Canis lupus familiaris: one gene and its partners. Each later gene encodes a partner of the first gene's protein in a complex. Links are inferred from orthologs where the notes say so. Each region holds a gene or a part of one and is shown in the gene's direction. Other genes may lie near its edges.

Evidence for each region.
Region 2: the proteins of DDN (region 1) and WWC1 are in contact, whole or in part, in a crystal structure (PDB 6J69), measured with the Mus musculus proteins. The link is inferred for Canis lupus familiaris from reciprocal best matches to the Homo sapiens genes DDN and WWC1. Residues at the interface, in NP_001013763.1 of Mus musculus: Tyr227, Val228, Ala229, Pro230, Pro231, Ser232, Tyr233, His237, Arg238, Thr239; in NP_740749.1 of Mus musculus: Glu13, Glu14, Ala15, Arg16, Asp17, Tyr23, Ile25, Asp26, His27, Arg30, Thr31, Thr32, Ser33, Trp34.
Region 3: the proteins of DDN (region 1) and MAGI2 are in contact, whole or in part, in a crystal structure (PDB 6KKG), measured with the Mus musculus proteins. The link is inferred for Canis lupus familiaris from reciprocal best matches to the Homo sapiens genes DDN and MAGI2. Residues at the interface, in NP_001013763.1 of Mus musculus: Asp222, Arg223, Pro224, Pro225, Pro226, Tyr227, Val228, Ala229, Pro230, Pro231, Ser232, Tyr233, His237, Arg238, Thr239, Leu240, Gly241; in NP_001164217.1 of Mus musculus: Glu308, Met309, Ala310, Tyr311, Thr312, Glu313, Gly315, Tyr318, Ile320, Asp321, His322, Lys325, Thr326, Thr327, Ser328, Trp329, Asp358, Tyr361, Tyr364, Val366, Asp367, His368, Arg371, Arg372, Thr373, Gln374, Phe375.

What each region holds. Positions count from the first base shown.
Region 1 is NC_049248.1:41,073,792-41,080,348, reverse strand, and holds the start of DDN (dendrin), read left to right. Parts: upstream 1-2,256; 5' UTR 2,257-2,301; intron 2,302-2,307; exon of another isoform or gene 2,308-3,113; 5' UTR 3,114-3,311; intron 3,312-3,994; exon of another isoform or gene 3,995-4,010; coding exon of another isoform or gene 4,011-4,219; 5' UTR 4,220-4,419; coding exon 4,420-6,537; 3' UTR 6,538-6,557. Other genes in the region: PRKAG1 (5'-AMP-activated protein kinase subunit gamma-1), read left to right, coding at 85-231, 372-476. UniProt on the Homo sapiens protein: Promotes apoptosis of kidney glomerular podocytes. Podocytes are highly specialized cells essential to the ultrafiltration of blood, resulting in the extraction of urine and the retention of protein.
Region 2 is NC_049225.1:44,320,062-44,326,470, reverse strand, and holds the start of WWC1 (protein KIBRA), read left to right. Parts: upstream 1-2,838; 5' UTR 2,839-2,900; coding exon 2,901-3,019; intron 3,020-6,409. UniProt on the Homo sapiens protein: Regulator of the Hippo signaling pathway, also known as the Salvador-Warts-Hippo (SWH) pathway.
Region 3 is NC_049239.1:18,485,510-18,491,319, reverse strand, and holds part of MAGI2 (membrane-associated guanylate kinase, WW and PDZ domain-containing protein 2), read left to right. Parts: intron 1-3,825; coding exon 3,826-4,464; intron 4,465-5,810. UniProt on the Homo sapiens protein: Seems to act as a scaffold molecule at synaptic junctions by assembling neurotransmitter receptors and cell adhesion proteins. Plays a role in nerve growth factor (NGF)-induced recruitment of RAPGEF2 to late endosomes and neurite outgrowth.

The sequences.
Region 1 (6,557 bases):
ATCCCTCTGGTGCAACTGGGTGGGCTCAGGGTTTGGGGGCTGGCTCCTTTGCTTCCCTGCAAGCACCTTCCTCTCTCTCCCCAGAATCTGGCAGCAGAAAAGACCTACAACAACCTAGATGTGTCTGTGACCAAAGCCCTGCAACATAGATCACATTACTTTGAGGGTGTCCTTAAGTGCTACCTGCATGAGACTCTGGAGACCATCATCAACAGGCTGGTGGAAGCAGAGGTAGGGAGGCCAGTGACCCAGAAGGAGCTAGGGAGAGCAGCTTTGAGTGTGGGATTTGGCACGGAGGGTGGGGGTTGAAGGACTCCTCCTAACTGAGGGCGTCACTAAACATCCCTTTTCTCCCTTGTTGCTCCACACAGGTTCACCGACTTGTAGTGGTAGATGAGAATGATGTGGTCAAGGGGATTGTATCACTGTCTGACATCCTGCAGGCCCTGGTGCTCACAGGAGGAGAGAAGCTCTGAGCTGGGGAAGGGGTCAGGCAGCACAAGGGGATATGCCCCCACTCATTGCCTGACCAAAGTTCTAGGAATCACAGATGAACCCTTGAGAAAATTGTGACTCTGTTCCCCGCTTGGGAGCTGGGGAGGGTGTGGGGGGAGGAAGGAGAATGGATTTTTAGCAGTCCTTATCCTCACACATACAGCCTAGCCCAGCCTAGCCCCTGCCATCTTAGACGTAGCCCCCTTTCTGGGTGAATGATGGGCCGTGTGCCCCTCAGGCAAATTCTGATCTCTAAGAGATCCCCAGACCTCACCCAGCCTTTGCCTCTATCTCTGCCCCTGACTCCACCCTAAGATAACAGCACAACAAAACTCTTCCTAAAGATATTTTTATTCATCCTGTTTCATGCTGTACGGAGGAGGCTGAGTCCATTTAGTGACATTTCTTCCCATAATGGGAGTGGGGAGGATTGTGGGGAGGAGGGCCTTTGGATTCTTGTGCTGTGTGCATATGAAGGCAGATGGGGGTTAGGTGGAGGAGGAGGGCAGAGTGATTAGCTGAGGTTATTGCTTTTCATGGCAAACCTAATTAAAATGACAGGAACCTCTTCATGGTATTGCAGTGTTTGATTCTTGTAGTTGACAGACACTATTGCTCCAACCGTCCTACTTCCTATGGCTTCTTCAACTCACTACTAACAACAACAGGAATAGTGGCACATACATTTACCCACACATATATGTAAAACTGTGTCAGGCACCATTCCCGGTGCTTTATGCATATTAATTAGTTCTCAGAACCATAGTAGATATGATTCCAGTTTTACAGATTAAAAAACAAAACAAAACTAAGGGACAGAGAGGCTAAGTAACCAGCCCAACATCACACAGCTAGTAAAATGTAGAGCTAGGATTTGTGCCCAGAGTCTGGCCCCAGACTCCTGCTCTTTACCACTAACACTAGACTTACTGCCTTTCCATTTCTCCATTCATGACTGTTTCCTACCCTGTTCCCTGCTGTTCTCTTTATTACTCACTTTCCCCTCTGCCTGAACCGTAGCTGGGACCCCAGGAGAATCTCCTAACAGCATTAGGTCTCCAGAGAATAGAGAGACTGAGGGTCTCCTTTAGGCAGAGAGACATGCTACGGCCATCAGCTTTTCTTCATCAGGGAAGGTTTGACTCTGAATTTTGCTGAGCCGGCACTGTCTTTGAACCTACAAAATGGCTCACCATTCTTCCAAGGTGAGAATGAGCTGGGGGCTGAGGAAACAGACTCTACCTGTGCTGAAACCAAATAAGCCAAAACAGGTCAACACCAAACACCATAAGGACCGCTAGACTGTCGGGCCTGAGCCAAATTTTGGGTACCATTTCACCACTGACTTGCAGGTTTAATATCATTTCCTGTCCAAGACCAGAAGCAATGTCAGAGTACCTCCTTGCCCCTCCCCACACTATACCAAGTACTCTGGTGAACCCTGCCCTACCATACCGGTTCCTCCAAAGTAGGCTTCCTCATGGCGCATGGAGAAACATTTCAAGGCAGCTGTCAGGGCTGCCATCCTGACTTTGGAGAAAGCCCTTGCTTCTGCATTCACCTCTCCACAGCTCACAGCACGTTCTCAGACTTGGGGGAGGGAGGCTTCCAAGTTAATAGAATTAGGGTATGTTTATGTGTGTGGGGGTGAATGCATGGTGGAAAGGACAGATGTCTCCTTATGTCACATTCCATCATGGAGAATTTGTCTAGGGAGGAGGCAAGGGCTTTAAAAAGCCCTAGGACTCTGGTGGGACCTGGGTAGAAGGAAGCACCTTCAAGCAAAGAGCCACCAGAGTGCAGCTGGTAGGTGTGTAAAGCGGGGGAGGGGGGTTATCAAATGGATGGAGTAGGGGCTGTTTGGGTTATCTCTAAATCTCTAAAGGTCCATATTAGGGAGCAGGGGGCCTGGGTTTGGTTGCTCTGGTTCTCATTAAGTCAGTCTCTTACTAACAACAACCCTTCTGGCCCCACCTTCTTAAAAGGAAGGGCCTGTACCCAAAGGGCTGCATGATCTTTTGCCTCTCCCATTCTCCCCTAAAACCTAATCAGTCAGTCTCAGAATCTGAGAATGGAGCAGAAGGAAAGACAAGGAACAAAATTAAGGAGCCTCATAGCCTATTCTTACCTATTCCTCTCAGAAGAGGCAAATTATCCCTTTTCTTCAGGAACCATTGCCATACACACTCTTCTCCCACCTCTCTGCACCCCTCCCCTCCACTGGAGCTGCTGCCATGGTTGCCAGGCATGGTTGCTAAGTCTCTGCATGGAAGGGTTGGCGTGGGCTGTGCTGCCACTAACATTACCATGGTGAATCAGGGGACACCTGGTATAGGCTTGGGGGGGAGGGATCACGTGGATGTAAGCAACACCCCCTGCCCCTGGGACAGAATGAGCGTAAAAGGTGAGCATCTTGAGCACCACTTCAGGTTGGGGGGGCTAAGTGAGCTAGGCATTGTTGTAGTGGTGGTGATGGGGAGCTCCACACTGGGAAATCGGGGCCACTTTTAGCATTTCAGTTGCTAGGGGACTGGTTTTGCCAAGGGAACACACCATTCCTCCTCCATCCCTTCTGAAAGGGTGCAAATGCATAAGTACCTTAGTCTGTCCTCCATAAGGCTGAGCAGAGCTGTGTGGGCACAGAACAGTATGACCCCCAAATCCTGGCTTTTGGATTGCGGGAGAGAGCCTGCTGCGAGGAGAGGGCTCCATGGGTGCCCAAGGACAAACAGCTAGCATAGGAACGTGGGACAGTTTGGATGGCCAAGACAGACTCCTGTGTCCGACCAGCAGCGCTGGGCTGCAACACTGAGAGGGTAAGGAGTTAAGGGTGTGGGGGTCACCCTTTCTGAGCTTGGGGGAGGCAGCTCTCCCCCAGAGCCACATAAAAGCTGTGTGAAAGCCACCGCCTCCTCCCTCCACCGCATGGAAGCTGGTTACTCATCTCTCTGCACCCGAACAGCCACTGCCGCTAAAAATAGACCCCCTGCACCCCAACCCCATGGAAACCAGCAGAGAGTGGCAGGCAGAGACCTTGAGTTCCATTCCCCTCACCTCCCTGTCGGGGAAACTGAAGTCCGAGGCAGGAAGTCGGTGGCAGAACCCTGGTGGTGGGGCACCCCGACCAGCAGAAGAGCTAAGGGTTAAAACGGCAGGAAGGTTGGAGCAACGGGGGTGGGGGAAGGGCACCGTCAGCTTGGCAAGAATAAGAGGTCCCCTGCCCACTGGCGCAGGTCCCAACAGGCTTGGGGGCCATGAGCGGTGGGAAGGGGCGCCCAATCCCGGGCCCCAGGGGGCGGCCGTGCACATGGGGGAGGTAGCAGCGCGGTGCCGTCCGCGCCGCACCGTGTCACATGCGCGCGCACACACACACAGACAGGCACACACGTGTGCCGGGGTATATATAGTCCCCAGTCTCTGGGCCCGTCGCTCTGCAGTGGGCGCCGGCTCCTCGGGCTGGGAGGGGGCTCTCGGGGCGGGTGGGAGGGTGGGGGGCCGGGGTGGGGTGGGGCAGGATGCTGGATGGCCAGCTATTCTCCGAGGGGCCCGACAGCCCCCGGGAGCCCCAGGATGAGGAGTCTGGCAGCTGCCTCTGGGTGCAGAAATCCAAGCTGCTGGTGATCGAAGTGAAGACTATTTCCTGTCATTATAGTCGCCGCGCCCCTCCTCGACAGCCCATGGACTTCCAAGCCAGCCACTGGGCCCGCGGGCCCCAGAGCCGCACGTGAGTGAAGGAGGGGTGACGGGAAGAGAGTGGTGGGGCGGGGAGTGGGGTCCGGACCTCCCCGCAGGCACCAGCCAGTGCTGCTGGACCCCGTTCTCTTTCCCACGCCTCCCCCTACCCCATCCCGAGGGCTGGGGCCTGACTCTTCCCCGCATTGTTTGGGGGGGCAGGAGTGGGTGTGAGAAAGGGCAGGAGGTGAGATGGGGCAGACGCTGTTAAAGTGTGCATGGAGAGATGGCGCGGAGTCCGGCTTCGACTTCAGCCCTAACATATACGCACGTGCACACACGCACACACTCACACACACCCCTCCACATGGCTGCCCCAAATGGCCTCCAGTGCTCCCAGCTCCCCGGACCTCGGCTCCCTTCCCCCACAAACTGCTCACCTGGGTTCCTGCTCATTGTCCCAGGTGTGGGCCGCGCCCGGGATCCCCTGAGCCGCCGCCCCGCCGTCCCTGGGCCTCCAGGGTGCTGCAGGAGGCGACCAACTGGCGGGCGGGGCCCCCGGCCGAGGCCCGAGCCCGGGAGCAAGAGAAAAGGAAAGCAGCGTCGCAGGAGCGGGAGGCCAAGGAGACCGAGCGAAAAAGGCGCAAGGCTGGTGGGGCCCGAAGGAGCCCCCCCGGTCGGCCCCGCCCGGAACCTCGGAGCGGCCCTCGGGTGGCCCAGCCAGTAGGGCCCCCAGCTCCTTCTCGACCCGAGCGCCTGGGGCCGGCGGGGCGACCGCCCCGTCCATCCGCGCAGCCGCAGAGCGACCCAGGGGCGGCGTGGGCGGGGCCCTGGGGAGGTAGGCGGCCAGGGCCCCCCAGCTACGAGGCTCACCTGCTGCTGAGAGGCGCAGCCGGGACAGCCCTGCGACGACGCTGGGACCGCCCGCCACCCTACGTGGCTCCACCTTCTTACGAAGGCCCCCACAGGACCTTGGGGTCCAAGCGAGGCCCCGAGCCCCCCCAGGCGCCGGCCCCCGCCGCCTCTGCTCCGACTCCGGCCAGGACAGAGGGAGGGTGCGCCAAGAAGAGGCTGGACCCTCGGATCTACCGGGACGTCCTCGGGGCTTGGGGGCTCCGGCAGGGGCGGGGTCTCCTGGGGGGATCCCCGGGCTGTGGAACGGCCGCGCCGAGGCCGGAGGCCGGCAAGGGCGCCGCCGAGAGAAGCCTGGGGCCGGCGGCCGCTGGCCTGAGTGCTGGGAGCGACGGCCGTCCCCAAGCCAGAGCTGCCGGGAGCCCGAGCGCCCAGACGGCTCCCGCGGGGTCGGCCCCCGCCGCGCGCAGCCCCCCGCGGCCCGCCCCCAGGGCCAGGCCCCGGCTCAAGGGCTCCGAGGAAGGGAAAGAAAACAGGGAACAGAGCTGGCTCCCCAAATGCTGGGTTCCCTCCCGTAAAAGGCAGCCGCCCCGACAGAGCCAGACCCTCCCCAGACCCTGGGCTCCAGGAGGCACGGGCTGGAGCGAATCCCCGGGTCTCAGAGCGGGGGCAGGACCCTCAGAGGGTGGGAAGGGGACCCGCCGCGCCCACACCCTGCCCCGCAGCGCCCGCGGCCCTGCGCGCGGAGAAGGCGTCTTTGTCATTGACGCCACGTGCGTGGTGATCCGGTCGCAGTATGTTCCGACCCCTCGAACCCAGCACGTACAGCTCTTGCCCGCCGGGGTGCCGCGCGCCGCGGGGGATGCCCCCAGTCCTCCGGGGCCCAGCCAGGAGGAGGGCGAGGGAGCCGCGGCCCTGCCCTCGCCTTGCCAAAAACTGCTCCCGAGCAGTCGCCCGTCACACCAGCTCGGTGGGGGGCGCGGGTTCGAAGCCGAGGGCGGGAAGCCGGCGGACTCCTCCTTGGAGGAGCGCGCCTCCCGCATCTTGGGGCTCCCGGTGGGCGAAGTAAACCTCCGGGACGCCCCCGCGCAGCCCGGTAGCCCGGAGCGCTCGGCCCTGGGCCCGGCGGCTTCGGGAGGCGCGGCCCCCGCCGAGGGCCCGGAGGGAGTGGCGGCGGCCCCCCGGCGCGCGGGCCGGGGCTGGGCGCGGACCCCGGGGCCGTACGCGGGGGCCCTGCGGGAAGCCGTGTCCCGCATCCGCCGCCACACCGCCCCGGACTCGGACTCGGACGAAGCTGCGGAGCTCAGCGTCCAGAGCGGCTCCTCCGATGGAAGCGACACAGAAGCCTCGGGCGCCTCCTGGCGAAAGGAGCCGCCCCGGCCCGGCGATGGCGGGAAGACCGCTGAGCTGAGCGACAGTGTCCGAGATATCCTAGATGTCATCAGCCGAACCGAGGAGGCCCTCTTCGGGACGAGGGACACTAAGGGGGTCCCACAGGGAAACAGGGAGCGGCAGTGACAGGCCCTTTCTTGTATTTG
Region 2 (6,409 bases), on another chromosome or scaffold:
TCAGCCTCAGAGAATGCCTGGGGATGATTCACCCGCCATCACATGGGGCAGGCAGTCATCTGTTTTATTACCTCACCCGGCTTGCAGCTTCTGGGAGATAACCTAGGATTCTTTTGTTGTTGGGGGGGGGGGGGCAGCGGTGGGGTGATGGAGGGTAGAAAGGACTGAAAAGCAGACCAAGGCTTTAAGGAGTTGATTCCTGTTCTGGTCTCTCTTTCGTCCTCCCCTGCTCACATCTAAAGGTCCAAAGGAACAAGGCATTTGGAAAATGCTATGGCTGGGGTACCTGGGCTGCAGAGCAAGCTGGATTTGGCAGCCTACCACGTGTGTCCCTTCACAAGTGATACCAACCAGTGAGAAGGCTGGGTTGCAAAAGAAGACAAAAAGGAAATCTGCAGTTGGGAAGATTGCACAGTTTTCAGGAAGGGAATGGACACAGGTTTTCTGTTTGAAACAGAAAATACTTCATTGGTTCCTATTTCATAGGGGCATGCTTGCTGCCAGGCATGGCGCTCCAAATGTACCACAATGAGGCGCCCGAGATGATGGCTTACCACTGGGTACCAAGCCCTCTACATTTCTTACCTCCTTTAGCCATTAAAACAAGCCCTATGGAAATCTATGTTTTTCAGACCTAAGACTTGAGACTTTGGTCAAGTAAGGTACTCATGGTCACACGGGGAGAAAATAGGGTACGTTTGCCCCCAAACAGACTGATCCAGAGCAGAATACTTAGGAAGCAAGCATCAACAGAGACAAGCCTTCATCGGCATCCATAATATTCCAGGTCCAGACCATGGGTAGGTCCACGAATGGAAGCATAATTTAAAAAAAAAAAATGTATACGTTAAGTGCTGGAGTCAAACAGACCTGAGCCTACTTATTAGTTCTATATCCCTGGCCAATAATATAGCATCTTAGAACATCAGTTTTCTCATCAGTAAAATGGGTATAAGTGTGCCGTACTCCGGAGGGTTGCTGTGAGATTATATGAGACCATGTGTGTGAAGCACTCAGCACCATGTTGGCTTCGCTTTTGAGCTATTGCTCTAATAAATAATAGGTTTTTATATTGTGAAAGCTTGGGCAAAGGAGAGGAGGTGAAGAGGACTGCGGGGACCTCGCTTAAAAGGATGGGGAACTTCTACTTTGGGTGTTACAGGCCAGTCTGAGGCCCATGATTCTGGATTTCAGTGCATGGCATCTATGGAATGAAGTAGGGGGTAGGAAGGGCCAAACACTGAGCCCTAGGTCTGGCCTCAGGGAAGTAACTGACTTGGCAGACAGCATTTGGAGGTAAGGAACTGCCATGGTGGGTCTTATCTATTAAGAGAAGATGAGACTGCAAACGTGGGATTCCTTCCCCTGCTCAGCACACTCTGTCTGGCCCATACAGCACGGGATGCTGGCTCGTCTGGGAGACGGTGGGGGCTCGGACAAGGGGATACACTGCACTGGGCTTCATTCCATTCCTCCAAGCCAGCTTCCTGCCACATATCCAGGGCAAAAACGGTTAAACACTAACATTCAGGAAACAGACGAGCCCGTAGATCCTTAACTCTGGGGTCTCATCTTTTTATACTTAATTACATATCTTTAATTTCTCAAGAAATACTGATTTTAAAATTTCTTCTAATAGTTTTCAAAATGGAATTTTGCTTTGCTTTCTTCTTCCCTCAAATCCATAACGTACCTACCTCCAAGTATCATAGGACGGAAGCACACATGACGCTGCTAGCCTCCCGCCTGGGACGGGCTAAGGACTCCATTCAGTTCACAAGACCCTGTTACTGTTACTTTACAAAAGGCTTCCCCGGGCACCCCTTGGATGCCGCCCCGGGGGGAGGGGATTCATAGCATATACTCCAAGTTTTAGGGACCCAGAGGACAGCCAGCTACATTAGCAACTACGAGGGTAGAGGAGACAGTGAAACCACACCGGGAGAAGAATGGAAGGAGAGGGAGACAGATGGTGCGTGTGTTGGGGGAAGGGATCAGAGATCCAGGAAAACTTCTGTTCCCTGAATCGCAAGAATGTTTCCATTTAACCACTTCTTGTCTGGCTCCTGATTCTACATAAAAGAGAAGCGGGGAGTTTTAGGGTTTGGGGCCACCTGCACCAAGAGCCTAGGCGCGAGGTGGAGAGCCGGGAGCGCGGGGAAGCAGCGGCGAGCGGGTCTTGCTCGGGCCACCCGGGCCCCCGCGCGCGTCCGGGGCCCAGGTAAGGGGCGGTGCCCCCTCCCGGCTACCGGGGCTGCGGGCGGTCCGGACAGTCCCACGAGGGGGCGCGTCTCGGGTCCTAGGATCCGCCCTCGCAGCGCCGGGCGCGGGGAGGGGACCCGGGAGCCCAGGCGCCCGGCGCTCCGCCTCCCGTTTCCGGGGCAGCGCGGTTACCTGCACGGCCCGAGCCGCACCTGGCGGAGGCCGGAGTCGCCGAGCGGGCGCAGAGCGGCGCGGCGCAGAGCGGCGGAGAGGGCTCGGGCGCCCGGCCAGGGGGCGGCGGCGGCGGCGGGGAGCAGGCGGCGGGGAGCAGGCGGGGAGCAGGCGGCGGGGAGCAGGCGGCGGGGAGCAGGCGGCGGCGCTCGGCTCGCTCTGCCCCGCCGGCCGGGCGCGTCCCCGGGCCCGCACCGCGCCGCGGCGGGCGCACATGGCAGCGTGAGAGGCCGGCGGCGGGAGCGCGGGAGCCCGGGAGCGGCGGGCCGGAGCCGCAGGGCCGCATGGACCGCGGCGCCGCCCGGGCCGGCCCCCACTAGGGCCCCCAGTCCGCGGGCGCCAGCCTCCCCCCCCATCATGGTGCCTCGGCGGCCGCCCGGGCTGGGCACGGCCGGCCGGAGCCGCTGAGCCGGGGCCCCCGCGGCGGCCGGGAGCTGCATGGGGGAGCGCGGGCCGCGCTCGGGAAGATGCCCCGGCCGGAGCTGCCCCTGCCGGAGGGCTGGGAGGAGGCGCGCGACTTCGACGGCAAGGTCTACTACATAGACCACACGAGCCGCACCACCAGCTGGATCGACCCGCGGGACAGGTAGGGCCCCGGGGAGCCCCACACCGCGCGCTCCGCCCGGGCCCCCTCTTGCCCCAGGGGCCACCCGCGGGGACCGGGCAGGGGCCGCCGGGGAACTCTGCGAGCCGCTTGCGCTTTCTTCAGTTGGCCGCCCCCCCGCCGCCCTCGCCCCCCCCCCCCGCCCCCGTCCCCATCCACGTCCCCATCCCCATCGCCCGCCGTCTGGAGCGCTGCTCCCGCCGGGGTGGGCTGCTGGAGGGGGGCGCGGCCAGGGGCCCGGGCGGCCCCCGCCGCCGTCCCCGATGGAGGACTTAGGCCCCAGCCGGCACCTGCCCAGAGTTTTGACCTTAAGCTCTAGCCCCGCCTCCCCCGCCCCCTTTAGGACGAGGTCGGGCGGGGGCTGGGGCAGCAGCCTAGCGGAGCGTTTCTGGGGCTTCCCGGAGAGGCTTTCCCCAGTGTGTGTGTGTGTGGGGCCGGGGGGAGATGGGGAAGCATCTGGTTTGGAGGGGGTAGTAGGGACCCAGGATTCAGTGGGAAACTGCTGGAAGGACACTAGGCGGAGGGGAAGGCAGCCTGGAGTGTGGTCTTTGACAGGTGCCTGGGAGGCTCGGGGAAGAGCACGGGAGCAGCCAGGGGGCCTGGAGGCCGGGAGTGGGAAGGAAAGGAAGAGGGCGGGGGAGGGCTGATCGGAAGACTGGTTCTCCAGGAATCTTAGAGCAACTTGGAAGCTGTTAGGATATAGATGGAGGTGAGAGGCCTCCCACAAAGCCCTGCCCATCACCTCGTTCTCCACCCTTTCTTCCTCTGGGGACCGAGACTCCTCAGTCCTGCACCAGCGCGTCCTGACCTTGGTGGGCACCAAGCGACTGTAGCACGGATTCTATTTTATTTTTTCTGTGGCAGGTGGAGTCTGAGGTGACTGCTCAGAGCTTCCAGACTTTCTCCCGGTTTTGATTGCTTGTCATTTCTTTGCACACACCCTCCCCATGTAGGGGTGGGGGGAAGAAGGGGAGGAAGAGGACCACCCTCTGAGATTGCTTTGTTGTCCTTGTTGGCTTGGTCTGTGGTCAGTGTCTTAGGAATGTGGAATGTTCACCTGGTCTGTGCGACCTTGAGTGTCAGGTGCCTGTAACGCAATAGAGGTGAATTTTTTGGATCTTTCGACCTGTAGGGTTGGGATGCAGGTCCCAGAAGTCCAAGATGGGGTGTGTAGCAAGGTGTGGGTTTTAAAAAAAGGCAGAAAGAAAATTTGAATTGAGATGCCCCGTAATTTCTGTGAGCGCTCTAAGTTCACTCATTTAACATTTCTTGGGTGCTTGCTTTATTCTCAGTACCACGCTGGATGCCTCTTTGATATAATTTAGAAGAGAAATTTAAAAAGGAAAAGTTCTCTGCCCATTGTGGGGCTTGAACTCAACCACTCTGAGATCAAGATTCGGGTGCTCTACCAACTGAGTCAGTCTGGTGGCATTGGAAGATAAATTTTTAATGCTAGAGAAAGCATCCCATGAGCAAGCTGCTTTAACCTCTGAGCCTCAGGTTCCCCGTTGGTCAGATTAATGGTTTGTTTGGAAGAGAAGTAATCGTAGAACTCTGAAAGTTGGAAGGGACATAGATGATCAGAGCCCAGCTCTTATTTTCAAACATAAGAGAAAATTTGAGGTCCAGAGGTGTGACTTACTTGAATATCTTCATCTTTCCACCACTCACCATATGCCAGATTCTTTACCATCTCTGAAGTTCTAACCTCCAGATTTGTCCTGACTCACTTCTCTTCCCTGCCCCACTCAGGGTCATCTGTCCCAGGGACGCTGTTACGTGTTGGAGAACTGGGCAGCCCCTTGTTCTCTTCCAGAAGAGACATAAGTTCAGTCTTCTGTTTCCTGCCTGGTTTTGGTCCTTGCAACTTACTGAGGCCAGTGTGCTGTCAGCAGTTGCATGTCAGAGGACTAGGACAGCCCCACACCCAGCGTTGCTAACTCACCCTCGGTTGTGAATCTAGGGACTTCTCTGGGGCTCTGAGAGGAATACAGCTCTAGAAAGCTTCTCAAACAACAGGTAATTTTCTACCCCTGGAAAAGGACAAGTGGAAAATTGACTTGGCTAGAGTATTATTTTTCAAATTTTAGTACCATATGAACCACCATAATGATTTTCTGCTATATTGACTTGTACCATTGCTTACTTAATATTTGACTTTAAATCAACTAAACGTGAAAATTTTTTTAAAGATTTTATTTATTTGAGAAAGAGAAAGGGAGAGAATGAGTGGGGAGAGGGGCAGAGGGAGAGAGAGAAGCAGGCTCCCCTTTGAGCAGGGAGCACACCATGCGGCTCAATCCCCGGACCCTGGGATCATAACCTGAGCCAAAGGCAGATGCTTAACTGACTGAACCACCCAGGTGCCCCTCAGTATGAAAAATTTTTAACCACTTTCACAAATGGGAAACTAGTATTATCTGTTGTCATAAATAGAAAGGATCTTCAAAAAAAAAAAAAAAAAAACAGTGGAGGGAAAAAAAACCAACAACCCAGTGCCATTATATTTTAGCTCTGTACGGTAGCTTGCCCATACCCAGCAACAGGTATGCCCAGCCTTTGTTTTTTAGGCAGATTGACAAGTATTGGAGAGGAATTAAGAACATAGTGGCATTTAACTGAGCCTCTCACTTTCTTCACCTTGCAAATAATTGGTTTTAATGCATCTTTGTACCTTCTGGTCATCCCTCCCATACTGGATTGGTGGGGGACCCCGGAGTTTGGGATGCTGAGGTGTTCCAAGTGCAACCCTGGGGTCACTGTTATGGTAGGCCAACTGAAAATTTGGGGAGAAAGCTAAGCAGAGGGCATCCACCCATGGCTCTCTGGAATTTCTCTCCTGAAAGTTGGAAGGGACATAGATGATCAGAGCCCAGCTCTTATTTTCAAACATAAGAGAAAATTTGAGGTCCAGAGGTGTGACTTATTTGAATATCTTCATGGATATGAAGATGGTCTTGGATAAATTGCTTGACCTCTCTACAAATGAGTTCTCCATTGGTGAGAAGATGTTCGCAGAACCCTGCCAGGTCTCAGATGTGATTTCAGACCCCTTGGCCTTGTCTTACCCCTCCTGACTCCATGGCAGAAGGAGAGAGGGGACTGTAGCAAGGAAGAAGAAAAAAAATTAAAGCGAAAAAGAGCCAGACAACTTTGGGGTGGTGGTGTGGGGGAGATAAATTCTGCCAAGGTAGTTACATCTCTGCAACCCATTTCATTAATGCTGTGAAACAAAAGATGACATTAAAAAAAAAAAAAAAAAAGAATTTCTACTCTTTAAGGGTGTGCGTGTGTGTTTACATTTGTCTTGGCTTTTTTCTTACCTGAATCAAGGCGATGCCCACCCATTCCCTTGAATTTAAAAGAAGTAAG
Region 3 (5,810 bases), on another chromosome or scaffold:
CCTTAAATAGGCCAGCAGGGCTTGAACTAGAGCCAGTTTTCCTAATGACATCTCTTTCTGTGCTCTGAATCCAGTCTATCCCAGGACTTGGCATGGCACTGTTGGATGGCATGGACCAGGTGGCTCATATTTTTATTTCACAACATGTAAATGACATTCATGCAGCACAGTCAATAAATATCCTACCCAATTAGTTCTATCTGAACAGGCAAATGTTTGCTTACAAATCCATCTACAACAATTTGGCATGTCACAATGTCTAGGCATCTCTATACATTTTTTAGAGTGAGCAGTTGAGTACCGTCAAGTTGTTAGTTTTATCCTGTGATAACTGACCACTCATCTTTTCATTCAGAAAGCTTCTGCGTAGCTCCATAAAGATAGCACTGTATCACTGCTTGCTTGATGACTTGAAAAATTGCTCTGAGTAGAAAATATCCATAAATTTTAAAAGGCAGTCTTACCAAGAACCACAAATAGTTCTCATTCTGTTTCTAAATAGCAAGATCACATTAAAACTCAAAAATAGATAACATTAATCACTATAATTCAAATAACTACTCTCTAGACCTGGCAGGGAACCTTGAGAGCTTAGTTCTTTTTTCCTATGAATTTCTGGCATAGCGTGCTTGGGGGTTGGGGGAAGTTCGTTAACAGTGATTAAAGTTAGGGAATGCCTTAGGAGAAAATGGCATTTGTTACCTTCCTGTCTTTAATCTGCCCACTCAGAAACCCATATTCAGCCTTGATTATGATTGTGGTGGGAATATCTTGGTGGGACTGTCCTGATTTTATAAAAGGTATAACCAAGGACAGATAATTACTGAAATAGCAATCATCCTTTGCATAACAATTTGCAGCTTATAAACCCTGTCACCTGCATGATCTCATTTATTTCCCATAGAGCAATAAGTTGCTATTATTTTTGTTCCTTGTTACTTGTGAAGAATCTGAGTCACAGAAGATTAAAGTTAGCTTTGAAAGTCACACAGCTAGGAAGTGATAGAGCTGGAAATCAAACCAAAGTCTTCTGACACATTATCCCTATCCCGCATAACGTCGGCTATACCATGCAGCCTCCCAAGCCTACCAAAGATGTTGGATCAAGAATGGAGGTGGGCAGAGAAGCAGTCAATGTGTTTACAAAATATAAAGGACTAACAAAATAGGAAAAAATGGGAAAATGAGACATACTAAAGAGGAAACCCAAATGGCCAATAAACATATGAAAACATGCTCACCCTCACTAGCAATCTGGGAAATGCAAATTAAAACCATGATCACACCCATTAGATCCATGAAAATTAAGTCTGAGAATGCCTAGTATTGTATCAGATAGGAAGCAATGAAAATCCTGATATACTAGAAATGGGGATGTAATTCGATTTGACCTATTTTGTCAGCCATTGGCCATTGCATAACAAAGCTGAAGAAGCCTGTGGTCTATGCCCAGAAATTCTATGCCAAGGTCCACACTTCAGAAAAGCTCTACCATAAGTACACAGGGACAATGATTATAATGATTTTTAAATGTGCAAAACCATATTTGGGGGGATATTATTATTTAGGGATTAAGTGTTATTTGGGGACATTATTTAAAGGTACCTGGATATGTCATAAAAATGTAAAGTGCATGTGAATAATGTAGGGTAGTGATTACCTTTGGAGAGGTCAGTAGGAGGGAGGTGCTACCTGAAGAAACACAACCAGTATGTGTAATGTTCTCATCATTGAGTTGGACACTGGTACACAGTATTTATTATTCTTTCAACCTTGTAATGTGTAAAATAGATTATCATAACTTTAGAAATAGAAGAGGCAAGAAGAGAAGGAAAAAAGTTTGTCTGAATCAGATGCTTCTCTGGGACTCTCAGGTGACCAGACCAGTTGAAAATAATGCCAAAAAAAATATTGTTTTTCAGAGTTTTTATTTTATAATGAATAATTAACATTCAGGGCATTTTTAATATTATAAAGTCAACTTCTAACCAGTGGACTTCTATAACTCGAAAGAGTCTCCATTTGCCCTGGTCTAATGATGAATCATAGTAGCAAAGAAAGGATGCTCATCCCAACTCAGCCCTAACTCCTGCTCCAAAATCCCTGCATTACACCAGCACCCTTTCTGATACACATAACTGAAGTGTGAAGTTCCATCCAACCAATCAGAGTCTATGACATTTCTTAGAATCACACTTAACCTGGATCCCAGAAAATGTTTGTTTGGCTTATTCTGTCTTTACATCTTTAGCACTTTCAAGCAGGTCTCTAGCATTTGGGCAGAGTGAGTGTTAACCAGTCCGTGTTGTTGAGAGTATCTTACTCAAGAATGTTTTATTCATAGAATTATTTATTTTAGATGCATACAGTGGAGTGATCATTTTATATCAGACACCTAAGAAAAGCTAGAAACGTATTTAACTCTGAAAGTTCAACTCTGTTTTTGCATTTTTGATGTTTGCAATTTTATGGGCAAGGATGTCTCAGAATGAGATCCCTAGCCATGTACACTACCCATTTCAGAATTATGCTGATTAATTAATGTCTGTTGAGTTACTTATTTGACAGTCTGTGAAAACATGTCTTTCCCTCATATACTCCCCAGAGTAGTCAGGCACAATCTCAGTTTGCAAGTTCAATTTTCAAATATTATGGTTTTTGAGAATAAAAATATTGATCCATAATATAACCGTTCTCTAAAAATAAAACTGTTATTCATAGATAATTGAAATTTTTAAACAATTGTCTCAAACAAGCATGTTTTCCTGCATCTTAAAAAGAAAATAATGTTTTTCAGAGTTTTTATTTTATAATGAATAATTAACATTTAGGGCATTTTTAATATTATAAAGTCAACTTCTAACCAGTGGACTTCTATAACTCTATGATAATTCATTGGGGAGAGAGGACAAATGCCTTTTTTAAATGATCTACAGAAATATTAATTAATCTACAATCAGAGAATGAGTCTATGGCAGCCTCCTATTTGAAAGCCAGGGTCCCAAATCCCCTCCATCCTATTTTAGCAATAGTAATACTAATAGTGGTCCACAAATATTGGACACTTACCGTGTTTCAGGCACTATGCCAAACACTTTTCCTATATTATTTTATTTCATCCTCACAACAGCTTTACAAATGAGGAACTGTGACTCAAAGCAGGTAAGTCATTTGCCCAAATCACATATCTGTTAAGTAGTAGGTAGAGCCAAGATATGGACTCAGATCCTGATCCCAGAATCTGTGCTCTTGGCCTTTGCTTGTGTATACACAGAAACTTTGTAATTACATCTTGCCGTAGATGGAGAAAATAAGTGGGCAAAATATTTTCCTCTTCCATAAAAAAGAAAAATAGCAGTTGACTCAGTCAAGCTATACAAAAAAAAAAAGTATACCAGGGCTTTCTAAATTTTCACCCAAGACTTATGACCACCACTTCTCAATAGTTTGAAAATTCTATTGACTGAATTGCACTGAAGATGGAAATGAAGATGAAAAAGAAGCATAGAATATATGCTTCCTCAAGGTACAAATTCTTCTAGACTTTCCTTCCTGAGCCTTTCTTTTTGAACACAAAGATGCTTCTGACTTCCAAGAATGAGTACATAGCATTTTTTTCATCATTTGATCGTTGTATTTGTTGGCAGACCTGTTGTAACCTTGAGTCACCTACAGCGAATTTAAATATTATTCTAATTGATTTTCTCACTGCTTACTGAGAAACTGAGTGCCTCTTATACTAGTCTCATAAATAATTCCATTTCTCTATGTCAACTTTAATTGAACTTACCTCATGTTGTCAATCTCTTTCTTTTTTCCTTGCAGGTGATGTCATTGTCTATATTAATGAAGTTTGTGTCCTTGGACACACTCATGCAGATGTAGTCAAACTTTTCCAGTCTGTTCCTATTGGTCAGAGTGTCAACCTGGTGTTGTGTCGTGGCTACCCTTTGCCCTTTGATCCTGAGGATCCTGCTAACAGCATGGTGCCACCCCTTGCAATAATGGAGAGGCCACCTCCGGTGATGGTCAATGGAAGACATAACTATGAAACATATTTGGAATACATTTCTCGGACCTCACAGTCGGTTCCGGATATAACAGATCGACCGCCTCATTCTTTGCACTCAATGCCAGCTGATGGTCAATTAGATGGCACGTATCCACCACCTGTCCATGACGACAATGTGTCTATGGCTTCATCTGGGGCCACCCAAGCTGAACTTATGACCTTAACCATTGTGAAAGGTGCCCAGGGCTTTGGCTTCACTATTGCCGACAGTCCTACAGGACAGCGGGTGAAACAAATACTTGACGTTCAGGGATGCCCTGGCCTGTGTGAAGGTGACCTCATTGTTGAGATCAACCAGCAGAATGTACAGAACCTGAGCCATACAGAAGTAGTGGATATACTTAAGGACTGTCCCATTGGAAGTGAGACTTCTTTGATTATCCATCGAGGAGGTAAGATAAACACTGACTCAGCAATAAAATATACAGGTAAAATAGTAAGACCCTTACAATAATATCATAAAAATAGAAGTTTCCCTGGAGTTGAATGAAATCATACTTTAAAAAATAAAGGTCAATGAATAAGAGAGAAAAATGCAAGAGTCCAGAAAACCGTGGTTTTTTTTTTAATTTTGAAAGTATGTATTTTCCTATCTTTTATTAAACACAAGAAAAGTGGTGCTGTCTTACACATTTATCTTAGTATGAACTTGGAGGGTAACACCTGAATCCCTAAATGTGAGTGGGTTATATTCTAAAAGTTCACTAACGTATACCGGTCGTAGAGATCTCAAACTGGTTTTCCATTGACTTAATTAAGAAATCTGATTCTTCCAATCGAATCAATGCTTTGTGTTGTGCTTGGAACTCCAGGCTAGCAGGTGGGAGCTGGTTCAGCCCTTTTTCTGCGGCAACCAGTTCCTCAAGGTCCTTAGGGGGATTATCAAGATTATATTTGATTATATTTGAACTTGCAAATATAATCTTGATAATCCCCCTAAGGACCTTGAGGAACTGGTTGCCGCAGAAAAATCTTTACGTAGAGTTGTGAATTGGGATGCTGAGGACACTTCTTCCACTACCAGCAATAATTACTCTTGGTGACTTCCATGATTTGAGCAGAAAATTACGGAACAGTTTGGGGCTGAAGTTAAGCGGGGTGTCCTTGGTGAACCATGGACATCGGAGCAGTGAGGAGTGTGTTAGTAATCTGAGCCCTGGGTGTTTCTTCCCTCCTACCTTCTGGGGAAGTGAATGGGGCAAGCGGAAAACCCCTCCTTCATTTCTGTGCTACTCTGCTCTTAACTATCAGTGACACTAGGGAGAGAAAGGAGGGAAGGGCCACGGATAGGATGGATACTTGAAAATAGATATAAAGGAAAAGGCTCAGGCTAAGTCCTGGTTTTCCACTTGCCAGTTCTGGGACTTGGGACACTTGGAGTCCAGGAGCCTCAGAAGCCTCGTCTGCTATATTGGGATGATCCTATTACCTAATCTGGTGGTCCTGTTCTTCATATCGAACAGCCCACAGTAGGTGTTCATTAAATGTGTGTTGAGTGTAAATGAAGCCACAGCAAGGGTGGTTCAGAAGGAGCAGCACTGCAAGGAACGCATGCGTGAAGAACGCACGTGTGGCAAACATATATGATTGTCTATTCAGAGCACTAAACACAGCATGAAAGCCCTGTTGGTTTGAAATGCAAATGAAAGCAGTGAAAGCTTGAAAGAAGTACCTTTTATGATTTCCTTGACCCTCCCTGCAGGTGTTTCCACTTCGAGGAAATATTTACATTATTGAT